2 linked regions of the Macaca fascicularis genome follow. The protein of the gene in region 2 purifies or fractionates together with the protein of the main gene of each other region. This does not show direct contact. Links are inferred from orthologs where the notes say so. Each region holds a gene or a part of one and is shown on either strand. Other genes may lie near its edges.

Region 1 (4,023 bases), on a different chromosome or scaffold from region 2:
CCATCAGTCCATTGCTGAAGCGTAAGTGCAGTACGGCCTCATTGTGGTGGATCAATGTGTTAAGAACTTCACCCGTGTTCACATCCCACACCCTAGGAGAGAAGAGAAAAAGCATGATGCTTAATTACGGAGATAGCCAGGAAATGATTCTGGCATCTGAGTTCTGTCTGGGTCTGCAATGGCTTGGATATGGTTTGTCTGACTCTACCAAATCTCATGTTGAAACTGATCCTCAGGGTTGGAAGTGGGGACTGACAGGAGGTGTCTGGGTCATGGCGGTGGATCCCTCACGAATGACTTGGTGCCATTCTCATAGGAGGGAGTTCACTCTTAGTTCTGAGAGAACTGGCTGTTGACAAGAGCCTAGCAGCTCCGCCCTCTCTCTTGCTTCTCTCTCACATGTAATCTGCATACACTGGCTCGCCTTTGCCTTCTGCCATGAGGAGAAGTAGCTCGAAGCCTTCATCAGAAGCAGATGCTGGTACCATGCTTCTTGCAGAGCCTGCAGAACCATGAGTCAAATAAACCCCTTTTCTTTTATAAATTACCCAGCCTCGGGTATTCATTTATAGCAACACAAATAGACTAAGACAGGGTCCATTCTTAATGAACCTAAGGGCATGATTAAAAGGTGCCCCTAAAAAGCAATTTCTTTATTTGTTGAGAAGTGCTGAGATGGTTTCAGAAAAGGTGGCTAATTCTGGCTCTGCTCGAGTTTAGGTATATTTAGCAGTCAGGTATTCAGGGACGGTGTCTGCAGGCTCATGCTGATGGCAAAAGACAATTCCTCAAGAAAGCAGATTTTGTATTGAGTCTGAGATAAAAGGAAGAAGGAGCTTTGTTGGCTGAAGAACTGAGAATGGTTCCAAGCTTACAGTTCTTGTTGACCTCTGGCAGACCTCTGAGTCTATTATTTATCCACTGCAAACTGGGTAAGTCATGATGCCTCATCAATCACCACATCCACTTCTTTACTCAGCTGCTTTATGGACAAAGCCAGGGTCTCCCAACTGCTTTGTATGTCCAGGGATCTGGGGGCAGCACTTCCACATCATGGCTTTTCTGTAACCCTCATCTCCTAAGAGGACAAGTTCACACAGGGCAGAGGGGAAAAGACTCAGGCCTCTGAGGCTGAGACATGATCTCTGGCAGAAGCAGTGGTACGGAAGCACTGAGTCCAGGAGAGGATACCAGGCGTGCTTCAAGCAGGGGTGGTGATGCTTCAGGCAGGGGTGGTGATGCTTCAGGCAGGGGTGGTGATGCTTCAGGCAGGGGTGGTGATGCTTCAGGCACGGGTGGTGATGCTTTAGGCAGGGGTGGTGAAAGAGTCCGGGAGTGACTCCTGGAAGTGAGTGTCTCCTCTCTGCTCTGGACCAGTTTCCCAAAAGAAGAAAGCCAGCCTAATACTTGGTATATGCTCTTACAGGAAAGCATGTTGTCATCTCTATAATGAACAGCAACAGGAATAGAACACCCTTAACAAAAATTAGCTTTCCTGCCTAATTTGCTCAAACATATCTACAATAAAAGTTTGAAATACAGCATGTAAAAATGTAAGTGTGTGTATGCCTCTCCCAGAGGAGGATGTCAATCTCAGACTTTCTCAGGGAAGGCTTACAAGTTAAGACCAATGAAGCCAGATCACTCACCTCACCGTAGAATCTGAAGAGCCGGTTACAATGACACGCTCATCATACTGCAGACAGAGGACAGAGCCTGTGTGTCCCGTTAACACTTTCAAACATTCCAGGCTGGTTTTATCCCAAATCTATTGAGACAAGATTAGCCACAAACGATGATTTATTATACTATATTTTGATGAATGTTACTGTCCCACTTTATGTTCTGATTATAAAATAAAACACACTTGGGTTATAGTAAGTAAGAAACACTGAATATCAAACAGGTAAGAAATGACAAGTAGGAATACAGACAATAGTGATTAACTACAAGGATAGATGTGCTATTTTGCTTAATTTGAACCCTTAGCTATTGATCTTATTACACTTATCAACAGCCTCATAAAGGGGACTTTTTAAAAATAAAATCTGTGAAAAGAATTCGCTCACTGGCTGGGTGTTGTGGTTCATGCCTATAATCCCAACATTTTGGGAGGCAGAGACAGAAGGATCGCTTGAGCCCAGAAGTTCAAGACCAGCCTGGGCAACATAGCAAGTCAATCTCCATAAATGTGTGTGTGTATGTGTGTGTGCGTTTTTTTTTTTTTTTAATTAGCCAGGCGTGGTGGTGTGTGTCCCTGTAGTCCCAGCTACTCAGGAGGCTGAAGTGACAGAATTGCTTGAGCCCAGAAGGCAAGGCTTCAGTGAGCTATGATCATACCACTGTATGCCGGCCTGGGTGACAAAGCAGAACCCTGCTTTGTCATTTTATTTTTATGTCTCGTAAAAATAAATTAATTAATAAAAAAAGAACTGGCTCACTCTCTGGAAAGCAACATGACAACATTTAATTATTAAGACCTTTTACAAATGCATACCCCTACATTTACAAAAATAAAAAGTGGAAAATGAAACGTCCATCATTTCATAAAAGTCTCAAAGTAAACTATGAAAAGTGTTTAATGAGAAAAGATCATGCTTTATTACAAAGTTAAGCATTTTTTAAAAATCAGAATAAAAATTATCTATAAAGTGACACAATGACTGTATTTTAGAAAAGGAAAAAAGGATTAAAGGAGGTAAAATGTTGTCAACAGTTGTTTTCATGCTCTGAGTGTTCCTCTTCTCGCTTCTTTTACTGCCTCCATAGATTTGTCTTTTCCAGAATGTCACAGAGTTGGAATCATACAGTATGAAGCCTTTTTACATTGGCTTCTTTCACACAGTAATACATACTGAAGGTTCCTCCCTGTCTTTTCATGGCTTGATATACATTCCTTTTTCGTGCTGAAGATTATCCCATTGTCTAGATATACTACAGTTTATTTATCCATTCACCTACTGAAGGACACCCTGGTTGCTTCCAAGTCTGGGCAATCATCAGTAAAGCTGCCATAAACATCTGGGTGCAGGTTTTTGTGTAGATGTAAGTTTTTGACTCAGTTGTGTAAATACTAAGTAGCAACACTGCTGGATCATATGGTAGAAGTATGTTTAGTTTTGTAAGAACTGCCAAACTGCCTTCTGAAGTGGCTGTACCATTTTCTGTTTCCACCAGCAATGAATGAAAGTTCCTGTTCCTATTGCTCCACATTCTTGCCAGCATTGGGTGTTGTCAGTGTTCTGGATTTTGGCCATGCTAACAGGTGTGTAGTAGTGTCTCACTGTTATAATTCACATTTCCCTGATGACTTACAATGTGGAACATCTTTTCACATGCTTATATGCCATCTGTATATTGGTGAGATGTCTGTTAAGGTCTATGTCTTATTTTTAAAAATCAGGTTAATCTAATTGTTTATTTTCTTACTGCTGAGATTCAAGAGTTCTTTGTATGTCTTTTGCATATATTTTCTCTAGTCTGTGGCTTGTTTTCTCATTCTCTAGACAACGTCTCTCACAGAAATTTTTAATTTTAACAAAGTCCAGCTTATTAATTCTTTATTTCATGGGTCATGCCTTTGGTATTATATCTAAAAAGTCATCAACAAACTCAAGATCATCTAGATTTTCTCCTATGTTATACTCTACGAATTTTATGGTTTTGTGTTTTACAATTAGGTCTTTAATCCATTTTGAGTTAATTTTTGTGAAGTACATAGGATCTGTGTTTAGATTGTTTAGGGGTAAGGGAGGCAATATGGTATCTAATTGCTTCTGCCCCATTTGTTGGAGACAATCTTTTCTCCACTGTATTGTCTTTGCTCCTTTGCAAAAGATCAGCTGACTATATTTATGAAGGTATATATTTCTGGGCTCTCTATTCTGTTCCATGGATCTAGTTGTCCATTCTGTTGCCAGCACCACACTATTGTGATTACTGCAGTTTTACAGTAATTCTTGAAGTACGGTAGTGTTAGTCCTCTGTCTTTATTCTACTTCAATATCATGCTGGTTTTTGCTT
Region 2 (4,651 bases):
GGCGACAGAGCGAGACTCCATCTCAAAAAAAAAAAAAAGACTGTGAATGTCAGTGGCTGGGCGCAGTCGCTCATGCCTGTAATCGTAGTACTTTGGGAGGCCAAGGTGGGCAGATCACCTGAGGTCAGGGGTTCAAGACCAGCCTGGCCAACCACCATGGTGAAACCCCATCTCTACTAAAAATACAAAAATTAGCCAGGCATGGTGACACATGCCTGCAATCCCAGCTACTTGGGAGGCTGAGGCAGGAAAGTCGCTTGAACCTAGGAGGCGGAGGTTGCAGAGAGCCAAGATTGCAGCACTGAACTCCATTCTGGGTGACAGAGTGAGACTCTGTCTCAAAAAAAAAAAAAAGACTGAATGTCATTTTAACAGCTACCAGGCACTTTCCATACTCATAGCTAATTTTCTCACAGGTGCACTGTTTTCCAGAGACAGAACCATTAGGCGACAGGTCCAAAACCTGCAGCTTGTGTGCGCAGCACTGTGCCCTACACTCCCCTCTGGCAGGCCTGGGAGACAGAAAGGGAAATCCCTGCTGGTCACTGAGGGATGGAGCAAAGCCCACCAGCCTGAGATGACCCAGAAAAGCAAATGCATCTGGCCAGAAAGTCCTGCCTAAAGCACACGTTTGATCCCGGACAGGCTTCCCACCTCACCCTGCAACCCCTACTGAAGATAAACAAATCCAGGACCCCCAACTCCACGCCTAATGCACAGCTGACAACTGTCTTGCAATGGACATTGCTGTGCCCAACCCTGGGCGAAGGCTCTACACCTTCAAGCCCTTGGCCTACCAAGATCCAGCTACTCTAGAGGACTGCTGGTATCCTCCAAAGGGAAGCTTGGGGCAGGGATAAATTGAAGCCAGAATCTTAGGGGGCCCTGAGAGGACTCACCCAAGGCCCAGGCATGGCAGCCAGAGGGCCCCCCAACCCTGCCCAGGATCAGGCCCAGAATGTCCTCTCCAGCAGGCACAGCAGCTCAACTGCACCACAGCAGGCTGCCCAGCCCAGCCCTGCAGCAGCCTGCAACCCCAGGACAAGGGTTCAAGTTCCAGCTCTACCACTTGCTGTAGTGGTCCCTTCTCCAGTCTCTGTGTCCTCTTTACACAGAATCAAAAGACACTTCCGACTCATAGAAAGATTATGACAATTCAATGAGAAAATTCTAGCAAAGTGAGCCCCCAGAACCTAAAAACAGCTCAACAATTTTTTTTTTTTTACTTATTATTACTGGGTCCTCCAGGTGGGCCTCGTGCAAGGGCCAGCCGGGCATCCCTGCCAGCTGCCAAACCCATCATCTGGCCCAAGTCTAGGTATTGACTGGGAACTTCAGAGTAGCCTTAAGGTGGGGACCCCTGGGGCAGCGGGTTGGGCAGGAGTTGTCTACACGTGTGCAGCAACCTTCCCTCCAGGCCGGATTCCGAGGCGCTAGTGACCACCAGCCTGTGCCACACCGGCGGGCTCCTCCTCCCTCAATCCCCGCCCAGACTGCCTCGGGCGGCAGAGCACGTGGCTCCAGCCCTGGGGAGCCATTTCGCTCCTGGAGCAGCGCGGCAGGAAAGGGGCCGCAGGTCCCAAACTTGCGCACTCCGTAGAACGCCCACCTCCCCCATACCCCGCCCGGGGGGTCGTTCAAAATGCAGATGTCCGGGCGCCAGCGATCAGAGTTCCAGGCATGTGCATTTTAAGAAGTGTGCGGGGTGGTTTAGCTGTGTGTGGTCCTTGAATCCATCACCCTTTGGGTTTCGAGCAACCTAGGACCAAAGCTTGCAAAGTGGCTTCTGGGGAGGCCTGCGGATCTCGGGCCACCCACCCCGCCTGGGGACCCGACGCTTTCGATTTACGGCAGGGGGAGGGGCGTTGGATGGGAAAGTTTGCAGAGGAAACCCACGTGCGGCGGGAAGCTGCCCTGCGAGGCTAGAGGCAGCCTCAGGTGTCCCCTCCCCAAAAGGCCTGCCCACCTGGCCTGCCTTGCCCACCGTGCCCATGGGTCCGAGCTTTGTGCAGGGAAAGCGTGGCCCAGGAGCGCCTACAAATCCCACAATGCTGCACCAGCAGGATGCGGAGAACTACAGCTCCCGCGAGGCCGCGCGCAGAGGTCCGCCTACTCCAAGAGGGCTGCAGAGTCACGTCCAGGCCTCGCTAGTAAACAGCGCCCGGGAGCGGGCGGGCGAGCGAGCGGCAGCCAACGTGCCCCGGGCCGCGGCGCCCCTACCGGCCGCGCGGGCCCCTCGGGGCCCGCCCACCCCCCACACCCACACGCGAGCACGCCCCCAACCCCGCTGCAGCCCCACTCTGCAAACACGCACAGTGCCCGGCTCCCCGCCCCCACCCCGCGCCGGGAGCCGCGGCATGGCTGCATTGTAGCCGCCCTAGCTACACCCCCACGCGCGCCCCGGCCCCCGAGACCCCCTTGGATGGGGACGACCTAAGATCGCGAGGAAGGAAGGAGAGGAAGGAAGCCGCCGCGGGAGGGGGAAAGAGGAAGCGCGGGGGGGAAGGCCACCAGCACCAAGCATGGCCGGGACTGCTGCAGAACCACGTGGGTCTGTTTGCAATTTACAAACGTTGCGACTCGCCCGCCTGCAGCGGACAAAAGTGGCCGGGGCCGCTTGGGGCCCCCATGCTCCAAGGGAGGAGGGTCCCGGGGCGGCGCGAACCCGGCGCGTGGGGCTGCAGCCGTCCCGGCAGCTAAGAAAGGCTAGCGGGGTCGGCGGCGCGGGCCATGCGTGCGCACACGCGCGCCCGCCCGGGCGGGCTAGCCGGGGGCTGCAATGGTAGGAAGGGGGTGGGGGAAGGAGGAGTACACACCTACAGAGCCCTCCTATCACTTCTTTCTCTGTTTTCCTGAAATGTTGCAAAGAGGGCACCTTCTGAGTGGGCACCATGAAATACTCCATAGCGATCGGCCCCCCTCCTCTGCACGAGCCAGGTCCCGCGATCAGCCGGAGAATGCAAGATGGAAATCCGAATCAAAGGGCAGCGCCGGACGGAGGTGCAGAATCGGCCGGTCCCAGATGCTGGCGGCGGCGGCGGCGGCGGCGGCGGCTGCGAGGGGAGGGAGGCGGGCGGGAGGGGCGGGAGGGAGGTCTCTCCGGCCTGCCTCCCCGGGCGTGTGTATGTGTGTGTGTGTGTGTGTTTGCAGCTGATCAGATGTCTGTTTCAAGGCGGGAAACAGCTGGTGAAAACTCAGCACTCCCCCGGCCTCCTTCCGCGGAGTAAGGAATTGCATGTAAACAAAGGACTATTTGCAGCGCCCCCCAGGCGGCGCGAGGCCGGGGCGAGAGGGGCGCGGGCCCCCGGGGACCGGCTGCAGCCGGGGTCTGCAGGCCTCTCGCTGGGCACAGGGGGCCGGGGGCCGCGGGCGGGCTTGGGGGGCGCGGCGTGAATGGAGCGAGCTGCGGCCGAGCTACATGCGCCACTATGGGTGATGAGGTCCATCAGCTGACAGGTTGGCAAGCGTTGAAAAAAAAAAAAAAAAGGCCAGCCACCGCGCGGGGAGGCCAGCCTGTGCAGCCCGGGGTCCAGCGGCGACTGCCCAGTGCAGGGTCCGCGCGCTCGGCCGGCCCGCGGGGAGGAGGGGGCGCGGCTGGGTCGGGCGTGCTGCGGCAGCAAGGAAGGCGGCCTGGGGTTCGCGCTTGGGGCTTCTGCTTTTTCACCATTGCAACTGCACCGAGCGGAGCCTCTCCGGTGTGCTCCCTTCGAGCCAAGCCCAGGGCCCCCTGGAAACTTGCGTCACAGCCACCGCTTCCCACATGTAACTTGGGGCTGACTTCCGAGGCCGGCCAGCCTCCTCTCTCCCTCCCTGCTGAGCTGCGCGCCGCTGGACGCACGGCAAGGACTCCGGATCCTGGGAATCCTGGACCTGGCGAGGGGACGGCAAAGGGCGCCTCGGATGCTGGGGCCGCCCTAGGAAACCCGGGCCCCCGGCGGAGAGGGGAAGGTGGAGGCGGGCCCGAACGGCAGCGGCCCCCGGGCCCAGGCTGCCGGCGCTGCCGGGAGGTCTGCTGGTTGCTGCCGGGTGTCCTGCTATTCCCCCCAGACCCCCACTGTTCCCTCCGCGGGCTGAAGGCTGCAGCTTCTCATTCATAACAAAGCCCGAGTGGGACTTGCACCTCCGCCAGGGTGCGCTCCCTACGAGGGGGTGACGACTTAGGGCAGGGACGGGGACCCTGGCGGCGAGCTTCCGTCCTCCGCTCGCACGCCCCACCTTCCGGCCCCAGGCCCTCCCTTGGCTCCTGGAGGGTTGGCTTCTGGCTCAGGAAGCCCACGCCTGCCTTGGAATGTCCTGGATCCTGCCCACAGCCTTCCAGGTTCCGCCTAAATCGCGCCTCCTAATTTGACTTATTCCTACTAGTAACAATAGTTACTGTTATTATTGGGAAATATTGTTATTAGATGTTGCCAGCACCCGGTGGATGCAGAACAGTTTTGCATACATGCTCTCCAATCCTTGAAGCAACCTGTTAGGCAGTTTCTCTAAGGAGAGATCCCAGACCACTTCACAAAAAAAGTCTCTGGAAGGCTTACTATATTTTTATTTAAAACAAACAAACAAACAAACTTTCGGCCGGGTGCGGTGGCTCACCCCTGTAATCTCAGCACTTTGGGAGGCTGAGGCAGGTGGATCACCTGAGGTCGGGAGT

What was found.
Region 1: the proteins of TFAP4 (region 2) and FBXW11 purify together in Homo sapiens (affinity purification with mass spectrometry; 7 studies listed by BioGRID and IntAct, counting the BioPlex papers as one, with this or other methods). This does not show direct contact. The link is inferred for Macaca fascicularis from reciprocal best matches to the Homo sapiens genes TFAP4 and FBXW11.

Annotation. Positions count from the first base shown.
Region 1 is NC_088380.1:178,667,145-178,671,167, forward strand, and holds part of FBXW11 (F-box/WD repeat-containing protein 11), read right to left. Parts: intron 1,769-4,023; coding exon 1,650-1,768; intron 93-1,649; coding exon 1-92.
Region 2 is NC_088394.1:5,061,114-5,065,764, forward strand, and holds the start of TFAP4 (transcription factor AP-4), read right to left. Parts: upstream 3,165-4,651; 5' UTR 2,906-3,164; coding exon 2,817-2,905; intron 1-2,816.